Yarrowia lipolytica: one gene and its partners. The main gene of each other region encodes a partner of the protein of the gene in region 3 in a complex. Links are inferred from orthologs where the notes say so. Each region holds a gene or a part of one and is shown on either strand. Other genes may lie near its edges.

The links. The genes of interacting proteins can lie anywhere in the genome.
Region 1: YALI1_D15952g (region 3) and YALI1_C29148g share a complex: the UniProt entries of both Saccharomyces cerevisiae proteins name them as parts of the mitochondrial large ribosomal subunit. The link is inferred for Yarrowia lipolytica from reciprocal best matches to the Saccharomyces cerevisiae genes MRPL1 and MRPL32.
Region 2: YALI1_D15952g (region 3) and YALI1_E20635g share a complex: the UniProt entries of both Saccharomyces cerevisiae proteins name them as parts of the mitochondrial large ribosomal subunit. The link is inferred for Yarrowia lipolytica from reciprocal best matches to the Saccharomyces cerevisiae genes MRPL1 and MHR1.

The regions. Positions count from the first base shown.
Region 1 is NC_090772.1:2,912,759-2,915,938, forward strand, and holds YALI1_C29148g (mitochondrial 54S ribosomal protein bL32m), read left to right. Parts: upstream 1-2,065; coding exon 2,066-2,626; downstream 2,627-3,180. Other genes in the region: YALI1_C29141g (uncharacterized protein), read right to left, coding at 241-1,353; YALI1_C29158g (uncharacterized protein), read left to right, coding at 3,099-3,180. UniProt on the Saccharomyces cerevisiae protein: Component of the mitochondrial ribosome (mitoribosome), a dedicated translation machinery responsible for the synthesis of mitochondrial genome-encoded proteins, including at least some of the essential transmembrane subunits of the mitochondrial respiratory chain.
Region 2 is NC_090774.1:2,061,579-2,064,729, forward strand, and holds YALI1_E20635g (mitochondrial 54S ribosomal protein mL67), read left to right. Parts: upstream 1-1,982; coding exon 1,983-2,597; downstream 2,598-3,151. Other genes in the region: YALI1_E20626g (uncharacterized protein), read right to left, coding at 1-1,062. UniProt on the Saccharomyces cerevisiae protein: Component of the mitochondrial ribosome (mitoribosome), a dedicated translation machinery responsible for the synthesis of mitochondrial genome-encoded proteins, including at least some of the essential transmembrane subunits of the mitochondrial respiratory chain.
Region 3 is NC_090773.1:1,593,709-1,597,510, forward strand, and holds YALI1_D15952g (mitochondrial 54S ribosomal protein uL1m), read right to left. Parts: upstream 1,586-3,802; coding exon 701-1,585; downstream 1-700. Other genes in the region: YALI1_D15937g (uncharacterized protein), read right to left, coding at 1-32; YALI1_D15963g (mitochondrial 54S ribosomal protein bL34m), read right to left, coding at 2,214-2,609; YALI1_D15965g (uncharacterized protein), read left to right, coding at 2,884-3,279; YALI1_D15974g (uncharacterized protein), read left to right, coding at 3,760-3,802. UniProt on the Saccharomyces cerevisiae protein: Component of the mitochondrial ribosome (mitoribosome), a dedicated translation machinery responsible for the synthesis of mitochondrial genome-encoded proteins, including at least some of the essential transmembrane subunits of the mitochondrial respiratory chain.

The sequences.
Region 1 (3,180 bases), on a different chromosome or scaffold from region 3:
TTGTACGGATGAGAACTGTCATCACTAATACACCATATCTCCTCCAGTCACGCGTGTATCGTGTCTAGAATGTCGATCCACCTGTCAATCGATCCAGTAACCCTCGCCATCCTCGTATTCAATGTTGCATATCCACCCTCTTCCGCCACCTACTTAACGGCCTCTCCATAACACCAAATAAATTCACTATTAGCAAACAAGCTACCTAAAATATTACATTACCACACATCATGATTCGTCCTACCGCTTGTAGTAGCCACTGGGCACTGGGGGAGCCCCAACGGGCTGCTGGATACCATTGGTGTTAGGACCTGCGGATCCTGCACTGCCAGGCACACCGGCGGTGGAAGCAAAGGGATGCTGGGAATGGGGCTGGGGCTGGGGCTGAGGCTTGGGGACACCAGCGGGCGAAATGCCAGCACTCTGACCACTGCTGGTGTTCTCCTTCAGAGCAAGAAGCTGCTTGGATCGGAACGCCTCGTAGTGCACATGGGCGGTAGTCTCAATGAGATCCTGCAGATGGGAGCAAATGAGGAAGTTTCGCAGGTAGGGGAACTCGCAGTGAGTCTCGTCCTCCACGTTAACAACACCCCACCGGGTCTTTCGTCCTCGCACAGTCTTGCCCTTCACAACAACGTTCTTGTCGGAGCCAACCACAGCAAAGGGGATAAACTGCTTGATCTGTGCGTTTTGATACTGTTCGTCCTCGTCGTAGTCGGCCGAGTCCAGAGGGTACAGCTTGAGTCTGTGGTGGGCAAATTCCATCTGCACGGTCTCCTTGAAGGCCTGTCGTTCGGCCAGGGTTAGCGAGTCGCTCTTGGCGATGACGGGCACCACGTTGGCAATCTCAGTCAGCTTTTTGAGCACGACTATGTCGATGGGCTTGAGACCGTGGCCGGTGGGCTGGATGAAGAAGAGCACACAATGCACCCGGGTGTCGGGAAGATGCTTCTCTCGCTGCGCAGTCAGCTCCTTTCGAAGGTACTGGCTGTGCTGGTCCTTGATGTACTTGGTGATGGGGTCCCAGCACTTTTCGTTGTTGACCTGGTCACCGTAACCAGGGGTATCGATGATGTTGAGCTTGAGACGCACGCCGTTCTCCTCAACCACATGACTGACGCACTTGATGTCGGGGGTCTTAGTGATGGGTTCGCCGGCCTCAGTTCGTCCAGAAGAAGATGCCAACTGCGACGCAAACAGAGTGTTGATGAGCGTGGTCTTTCCGAGACCAGACTGGCCCACAACCATCAGGTTGAACTGGAACCCTCGCTTCAGAAGCCGTCGCTCAATCTGCTGGGTGATGGAGTCGAACCCGACCTTGCTGCCGGGCGTGATGGTTTCGGTGGACATCATTTATGAGTGGTTGTGTGGTGGTACAGATGTGTGTTGGTGATACGTACAATAGGGTGTATGTAATGCGTGTCGCGTTTCCCCTGAACTTTAATTTTCAAGTTGGAGGCCGGGTAACGGGAGGGAATGTGTGAGATTAGCCAAATGTGCCAGACATGGGTGATTTGGAGGGGGCTGAGGATAATATTTGATCAATGACTCGATCACGTGATGTTTATGAGATTAGGAATGATTTCAATTTATATTATTAAGCAATTGGCGAGAATCAGTCTTGTTTGTTGCGACTGACGAGGTCGTAGCTAATCTCAAGACAAGACACAGTAATACAACCAGAAATAAGTGTAATGAACGACCTAAAGTCCCCAGGTGATAAAAATGGGGTTTATATAGGGATCTCACCTTTTTTGATCTTGTTTTTGTGTCCCTGGAGGCCTTTCAGACGCGAACTTGCGGTTGAGCGACTATTTTTATTTTATTATGGTCTCTTACTGATGACCAATAGATTCTTGAGATCATCTACTTCTCAACGACAACAAACAAGCGTTATATATCACGAGAATCGGCTCATCGACATATATTCTCCATTCTCTTCGTCCTCCAAATTTAAACCCTAACCCAGTAACCACAGTGTTCCCATCACGTGACTCTGAAAAATCCTCCCAACCATATTCACCACCTCGAGTCTGAGATCATCACACAACACACACGATCCAAAATGGCTCTACAACTGACCAAGCCGTTTGTGGCTGCTCTCAGCGCCCAGATTCCCGTGGCCGTGAGCGTCACTCTTGCCCCCGGTCTTCTGGGAGGTCTTTTCGGAGGAGCCCAGCATGATCTGGATCTGGAGACCCCCAGCCGAGAGGTGGATCTGGAACAGCATAAGCATGAGGACTGCGACCACGGCATTGTGTACGCCGTGCCCAAAAAGAAGGTGTCGTACGGCCAAAAACGAAAGCGATTCCTCGCTGACACAAAGGCCCTCAAGCCCTTGACTAACCTCAACCGATGTCCTGCCTGTGGACATGTCAAGCGAATGCACACTCTGTGTATGCACTGCTTCTACGAGCTGCGATCCTTCTTTGCCAAGAAGACTCGAGACGCTGAGTCGCTGGTGGACAAGAAGCAGCCTCCCACTCTGCCTGCTCACGACGAGGCCTTTATCTACAAGAACAAGATTGACCGACCTCATTACGACAAGCTCAAGGATACCGCCTCCTATGTGCTCAAGTATCCCCGGTCTCAGGTGTACAAGAAGAAGGACAAGTCGAGAGACTAATGAAAACCCATATGTATATAGTTAAACGATGAACTCGATAATTGAGGGTGTGGGGGAGAGGGTGTAGGGGACAATTTGAGAGTGTGTGATCACTGGATGACATTGAAGGAGTTAACCTGGGGACGTCTGTGACAAACAATGTACCGCAAACACAACCACCCTACTGTAGATACTGTACTTTACTCGTACTGCTCTCTGTCCCATTACTCAGCTCTTTTTCCCAGCGGGTAGTGTAGTTATCAGTACGAAAATATCTGTGGATCATAATAGCAAAGATACGACAATAAAAACACACCTCATTCATCTGAACAGCTTTTGTTTGCTCGTGTTCTTTTCTCTTCTTTTTTTTTTTTTTTTTTTTTTTTTTTCACGTATCACTCCCATATTAAAACCGCTCCACAACAAAGTTCAACCACCAGAGAACATCACCAACCTGATCAGAACCTGCATACACACACGCAACCACAACACGATGGAAAAAAAGCTGGTGACGATCCTGGATAAGGTCAGTGGCCACTACAAGACCGATTACACCCGTCTAGAGTCAAAAACGA
Region 2 (3,151 bases), on a different chromosome or scaffold from region 3:
CTACTCAAGTCGAGAAGAAACCACCTGCTCGGAAGTAGAAGCTCCAGTCGACTTGCCAGCCACCTCGGTGGCCTTGGCCTTGTTCTCATCCTCGGACGAAGAGCCGCTTCGAGACTCAACCCACTCCTTGTACTTTTGGGCCGTGATCTCCTTCTGCTTCTGCACGTAGCCCCGGGTGCCGTGGTACTCCGTGTTGAGAATGCGGTCCCAGAAGGTGAAGAAGGGCTGCGAAAAGTTGGTCTTGATGCCAAAGCTCTGATGGTGAATGTCGTGGTACACGGCATTGTTGGGGAACAAGATCTGGAACGGGTCCCAGGGAATGCAGTAGCCGCAGTGGTCATCGACAGTCTTGAGCGTGGAGAAGCAGAAGAACCAGATGGCTTCTCGGGTAGTCAGGCCCGAAACCATGTATGCCAGGCCGGCTCCACACGAGTCCATCAGCACGCCCTCCAGAGCAGTGTTGTACAGCGCTCCAATGGCGTAGGGCACATAGAGTCTGTGGTGTCTGGAGTGGAACTTTTTGTATAACCATTTGCTCTGGTGCATGGCCCGATGCAGAAAGTACTGCCACGAGTCGAGAATGAAGAAGGCAAAGGAGATTTTGACAAAGGGCAGCAGATAGGTGTAGGCGAACGCCGCGAGCCACGCCTTTGCGGGGCTCGTCTGTCCTCCAAACCGAACCTGCCACGTCCAAATGTCGTGAGCTTCATGGCCAGTCGTGTTGGGCTCCTCAAAGTAGTTGAGTAGCAGGCCCAGAGCCGTCTGGAGCATGTGTTGCTTGATAACGTCTCGAACAACCTCCGCAAACGTGCACTTGTTGCGCTTGGTCACCTCCTCAGGAGTGTGGATCCGGTACTGTTCGAGCAGCTCGTACTGGTCGATGATGTGGAACATGATGCCCGACGTCCAGTAGCAGATGATGGGCAGCAGCAGCGCGAGATTCTCGTCCGAGATCCATGACACGAGTGGTGGAATGGAGTGTTTGTAGATAGGAGGCGGTATCGACGACACGTTGGGGGCCGTCAGCGTTATTGGGCCGAGATTGAAGGTGCCGTTGTACATGTCGCAAGGGGTGGAGCTGTTTATTTCGCTGGAGCTGGCGGTGTAGCTGGAGTTGTTGGCGAGCAAGTCGGTACAAATGTAGCGTTTTTTTTCGTAGGTCAGGGGAAGATACGCGCCAAAGTTGGAAACTCTTAATTGTAACGTCTTGCCATTTTTGGTGACAAAGACACATAACCTTCTAGACTTATCAGATGGGCAGGTGGAGCGATGGACAGAGGACGGGGTTCAAGTTGGGCTCGGAAACCAGGGTCTAGACCGCCCATTTCCCACCTGGCAACCTTCAAATTTCCGAAAAATCGCCACCTTGGCCCTCTTTACTGCCCCTCCCCCCGTCATCCGTGCCTGCTTCTACACTCTCGTACCACAAGTTTCGCCACAGCGTAGCTAAGACAAGCTCCTACAGAGAAAAACCACCCTAGAAAAACACTAATGGCACCATACTTGTGAAGTCAAAAAACAGCAGTAGAATGATCATGTCAAGAGACCGAGGAGGAAGCCCTCTGACGGGGACGTATAACAGTATGAATGGTGTCGGTGGGTGGAGTAGTAGGGGTAGTCACGTGACATATATCCCTAGGCCCGTGTCGGTTCCTTCCTTGCCCCTGATTTTTTTCCAATTATCTGCTTTTCTTGGATTTATTTCGCTTGCACATTTTCGGTCGATCGATGTCTCGCTAGACGCGTCCCCCCAAATTTCAGAGTTCAACTTTGTTGAGCCGAGACCGAGCTGAGTCAGAAGAGTTGGTTTCGGGCGTTAGTCAGCGAAGGGAAGAGCTAGACCGATCATCCCGTGACCGTCACCTCGTGAACGCCAGTTCGAATCCCGCGAAAACCATTTGCAATTTTTCCCTCCCTCCAGACCTCCCTCAAACCCTAATGGAGATCACAAATTTCACACTGCAACATCATCTCCATCAACAATGGCACAGTACACAAAAGCCATGGGCACCGTACGAAAGTACACGCCCGCCACTCTCAAGCGAGACGGTAAGCCCGCGTTTGTGTACGTCTACCGACACCTCCAGACGGGACAGGTGGCCTACACCCAGGTCCCCGGCGTGACGGAGCACCATCTCAACCGACAGTTCAAGGACCCCAACTGGGAGAACAAGCGGCCCACCATGCGACAGGATCTGTGGCGGCCCATGGCCGTTGCCGATTTCGGCGACCACCAGGCTGCTTGTGATGCCTACGACGGCCTCGTGTACCTGCGATACAAGCGAACCCACGACGGCAAGAAGGACATCAAGGGGTGGAGAAAGACCAACGCCGCCGGAAACGTGTGGCAGGACGGCCAGTACCGGCCCGTTTACACACAGGAGGCGCTGGCAGACCTGTCGACCGTCACCGAGGCCGTCAAGGTGCCCGTGACCATCCACTGGGAGGACCTGTGGAGACGAGGAGCCGCTGAGTCCTGGCCTGAGAATGCTGACCATAGCGTTCTCAAGCGATGGGACGCCATCTACCCCCAGTCTCTGGAAAAGCGACTTGCCAAGGAAGCCAAGGTGCCTGGTGAGACGACTGCTGAGCAGTAATGTACATAGTTAAGGAAGTGAAACAAAGAGTGCGAAGCACTATGGTTGAACGGGTCCTATCCATGGGTATTCGCTCACAAGACGTTATACTGGCAAAGTAGTAAAGTGTGGATATTGTAGATGGTCTGGCTTGAGCTGTGGGAGTCGGAGTACGAAACAAGTCGAACTCCGATATATCAATAGTGGCCGGATGAGCAGGAGTCTGTAGGAAGTCATGCAGAGCTGCTATAGCTCGCCTTCTGATACTAGAGACTGAGTCAGCTTATGCAACTAACAACTCTGGGCTCTACCATTCCACCATTGACAACAAAGTCGCTGAAGACTGGTACACATTTCACCAATGAGCACAACAAGTCTCTACTATCGATTTCTGTAGTTATCCTCAGTGTCAACTCCACAAATCACACTTTGAACCCCCACTCTTTTGACAAAGCGTAGGTTCAGAATGGTTGAGAGCACGGGTTCAGAAAGGTTCAGAAAGGGTCAGAAAGGGTTCAGCACCGGTCGAAAAAGCAGGCTAACAAGGCTGGATACGAGGGCAGTGCTGTTTCTAT
Region 3 (3,802 bases):
TGCTCCTTGGGTTCCTTGGGGATGAGAACCATGATTGTGTACTTGGTAGTGACACGCTGATGATGGTGTACGTGTATGCGTATGCACTTGACGATGTGAGTTTATTATCGTACCGTGCTGGAGCTGGGGCTAAGTAGAGTTTGAAGTAGAAGGCTAAGTAATATTAGTTGGACGGTGTCGTTGGAGCTTCGATATCTCCAAACATTGCGTGAGCAATGTGTATTTATCATTTGTATTTGTTGGTAAAAGTGGATTTCTGTATATAATGGGATTTGTTCCTAGTCGTTATCTTTTCTGGGGCACAAATAAAGGACCCCCAGCTGACTTGTTAGTCAACAAAATCTAACAAAATAGGCCTTAACTACACTGCACTTTTGCTCTTGTGGATTGGAAAGTATAGTTGCAAAGTAACTGTCAAGTAAAAGTAGTTAACTTGAAATTTCGAAATGAATATATCTCGAAATGTTGTATGACAAACATGTATTGTCTTCGCACATTAGTTGGATACCGAGTGCGCTCTATCTGCTGATGTACTCGTTTCTACACCAGCATGTCTGGAAACGGTATTTTACACCCCCAGTGCACTTTGCTTTCCAACTAATCTCTACTACTGAACCTAACTAAAACTGCCCTACAAGCTGGCAGACACAAGACAACACAAGACAACAAAAGTTGTTATCCAATCTATCATATATACAAATTACGCATCAATGGTAATGGCGGGAGAGTGGAAGGACCGCAGAGTGGTTCGGGCCAGAGACGAGGGCTTGGCGGTGTCTCGGGTCTTTGCAATCTGTTCTCGGACTGCTCGAGACGCCGCAGCAATGTTTTCCACAATCTCTGTGTCGGTAAAGGAAGCGTCTCCGACCTTGATGGAGAGACAGCCGGCAGACTCTCGGAAGGGCATGACTCCGGAGGTGGAGGCGATGATCTCGGCGACATCGTTGCCCACAGTGCCCTTTTTGGCGGAGGGCATCATTCCCTTAGGACCCAGCACTCGGCCGAGTCGGCCCATTTTGCCAATGATTTCGGGTGTGGCATAGCACTTGTTGAAGTCGAGGGGCTGTTTGCCCGACAGCAGGTCATCAATGAGCTCTTGTCCGCCCACCAGAGAAGCTCCGGCCTCCTTAGCAGCCTGGGCCTGGGCCTCGTTGGAGGTGATGACACAGATGGTGTCGCTGCCGATGGCCTTGGGCAGTCGCACGGTGCCCGTGATGCCGTTGGTTCCCTTCTTGGCCACAATAGACCACGACACCACTATCGATGTGGAGGACGAGGGCCAGCCCACCTCCATGGCCCGAATGTACCGCAGAGCCAGGGGGAAGTCCATGAGCAGCGGGTGCGACAGACGGTCTCGGGCCTTTCGCATCTGCTGGGCAAACTTGGCCCGCTCCTTTCGCTGGGTGATCTCTCGCAGTCGTTCCTTTTCTCGTCGGATCACCAGCTCCTTGTAACTGGGCTGGTTGACGGCTCCGGAGGTGTCCTTCTTCTTCTTGCCGAGCGCCACAGCCGAGGTCGACAGCGGCCGCACGCTCTGGGCAACGCCACCGGCCGTCAGCTTGGCCGCGTGTGTGAGTCTGAGCATTTTTTGGTGGTGGTTGGATGTAGTGTGATGTGATGTGGTGAAAAATTAAGCTGTGAAATTTCATCTCGACTTTGGGAGTTTCTCTACAGTTTACAGGAGCGACCAGTGGAGTCAATTTGTGGGGTGTTGGTGGGGTTGAAGCGGCTAGATTGAGTGAGGAAAAGCTGGCTTAAGACGTGGGATTTTCATCTTTTGCTCCACTCCTTCCGGTTTCTCCAGTCTCAGCTCACCCACTTCCTTTTTGCCCAAAAGGATCACTTTTGGATCCCCTACATACACCTTATGAGTGGATGGATGAAAGCGGTGAAAAAAGATGATCTGATACATAAAAGATGATCTGATACTTTGAGGAAGAGGCGACTGGTTTCGGAGGGTACATTTGAAGTTATTCCACCCGTTTGTTTCGTTTCTTTTGCCCCAATCCCGTGGCACATTCTTCTTAGCAGACATTCATTGGTCATCGTACGAGTACAAGGCCAACTTGCCTGATGGATTCATTCTTGGTCAAGAATCCATCGTACTATATTACAAGTACTTGTACGACTACAACTGATACCATAGCTACTGCCATCTTCATTGTCTCATACCAATAATCCTCTTTGCTATATACATTAGTTGTGGTGTCCTTCTAGTGGGTCAGGAACCACCGACCCTTGAGAGTCCGTCGCTTGATAATCTTTCGGCCGGTTCGAGATCGCGATCGGGCCAGAAAGCCAAGAGATCGCTTTCGCTTTCGGACCGAGGGCTGGTAGTCGATACCTCGCACGTATCGTCGCTGGGAGGCGCCGGAAAAGGGCGTGAGGAAGGGCAGAGTGGCGGTAGAGCCCTGGGCGAGCGCGGAGGCGACCCCTGAGGCCGCGGGAATGCACGACGGCACGGAGTTGGGCTGGATCATGGTGGCGGATCGCTGTTTGATAGCGGTCAGAGGGTTCACGTTGCCTCCGAGCGTGGCCATGTTTCGGGCCATGAGGGGTGCGGGTCGGACCACCTTGGTTGCAGCGGCTCTGGTGATGATTCTGAGCATGGCTGGGTTGGGGGCTTGTTGATATGGTACAGTACCGACGGGTTACTTGTCTGGAGTGTTGTGCCGTTCTCTGCTATTAATATATTTGTAGGCACTTTTTCACATATTGTCCCGACTCCCACATTATACCCTAACCCGAATTTCCCCATTCAGCTGCAAGCTCAATTTTATTTGCCTTCACTGCGCACTTGTGGATCACGCTGTTGCAAAAAAAAAAATCCCGTTGGCTTGATCCCGACGTACTAACCGCGCCGCCCCCACCACAACCACCAGCATGTCGTCCTACAAAGCGCCCGGCCCCACGGCCATAGAAGTGCATTCGTCCAAGGCGATCCCCAACGGCGAGGCCGAGGAGATCATCACACAGTACATCGATGCCACCACCGAGAGCACAGACCAGCTGCTGTCCATGTCCAGCGACAGCATGCCGTCGGTCGTGTCGCGAAACCACGCCATGATCCAGCAGCTGCGACGGGTCCAGCGAGACCTGCGGGGCTTGCCTCCGTTGGAGGCTGAAGAGAAGGAGGTGGAGAACAAGGACAAGGGGGATTCCAACACAACCACCGACGGAGGAGATAACGATAACCAGGAGGAGTCTGAGGATTCCGACGACTCTGAAGAGTCTGAGGAGACCAATGAGGACCAGGACCAAGACCAGGAAGAGGCTTAAGAGATGCTGTCGTCCGCCGCTTTGGCTCTACCACACCTTTACTGTCTACTCACCCTCTCCCCCCACCCACCCCCCTGTGTCGACACAGGGTAGCATTATTAATGTACATTAACTATAGAATCAACATGTTTACTTAGAGAGGTGTGTAGTGTAGCTGGAGAGTGGGTCGTTACGGGTTTGGCATATCGGATCTGGTGTAGGGCATTCCCAGGCTGTCGGATCAACTGGCCAGATGTCAATCCCGTTGATATTTTGATAGCTACAGTTTCGGTAGGGGAGTGTATTATGTTGCCCCTGTTCACATAGAATAAATGGGGCGAATTTGCAATCTCAAACGTCCTGGGGATCAGCCCTTTCTCCCCACTTCTTCCCGTCTCCATCCTTGTCTATCGCCCATCATGCAGATCTAACTTCTATCTAAAAAATCTCCTTTCACATTTCACCAACTCGTTTCACACTCGACAACCCATTCCCTACAGCATGGTGGTCGAATCGGTGCCCAGCAAAGAGCGGTTCACCGCGA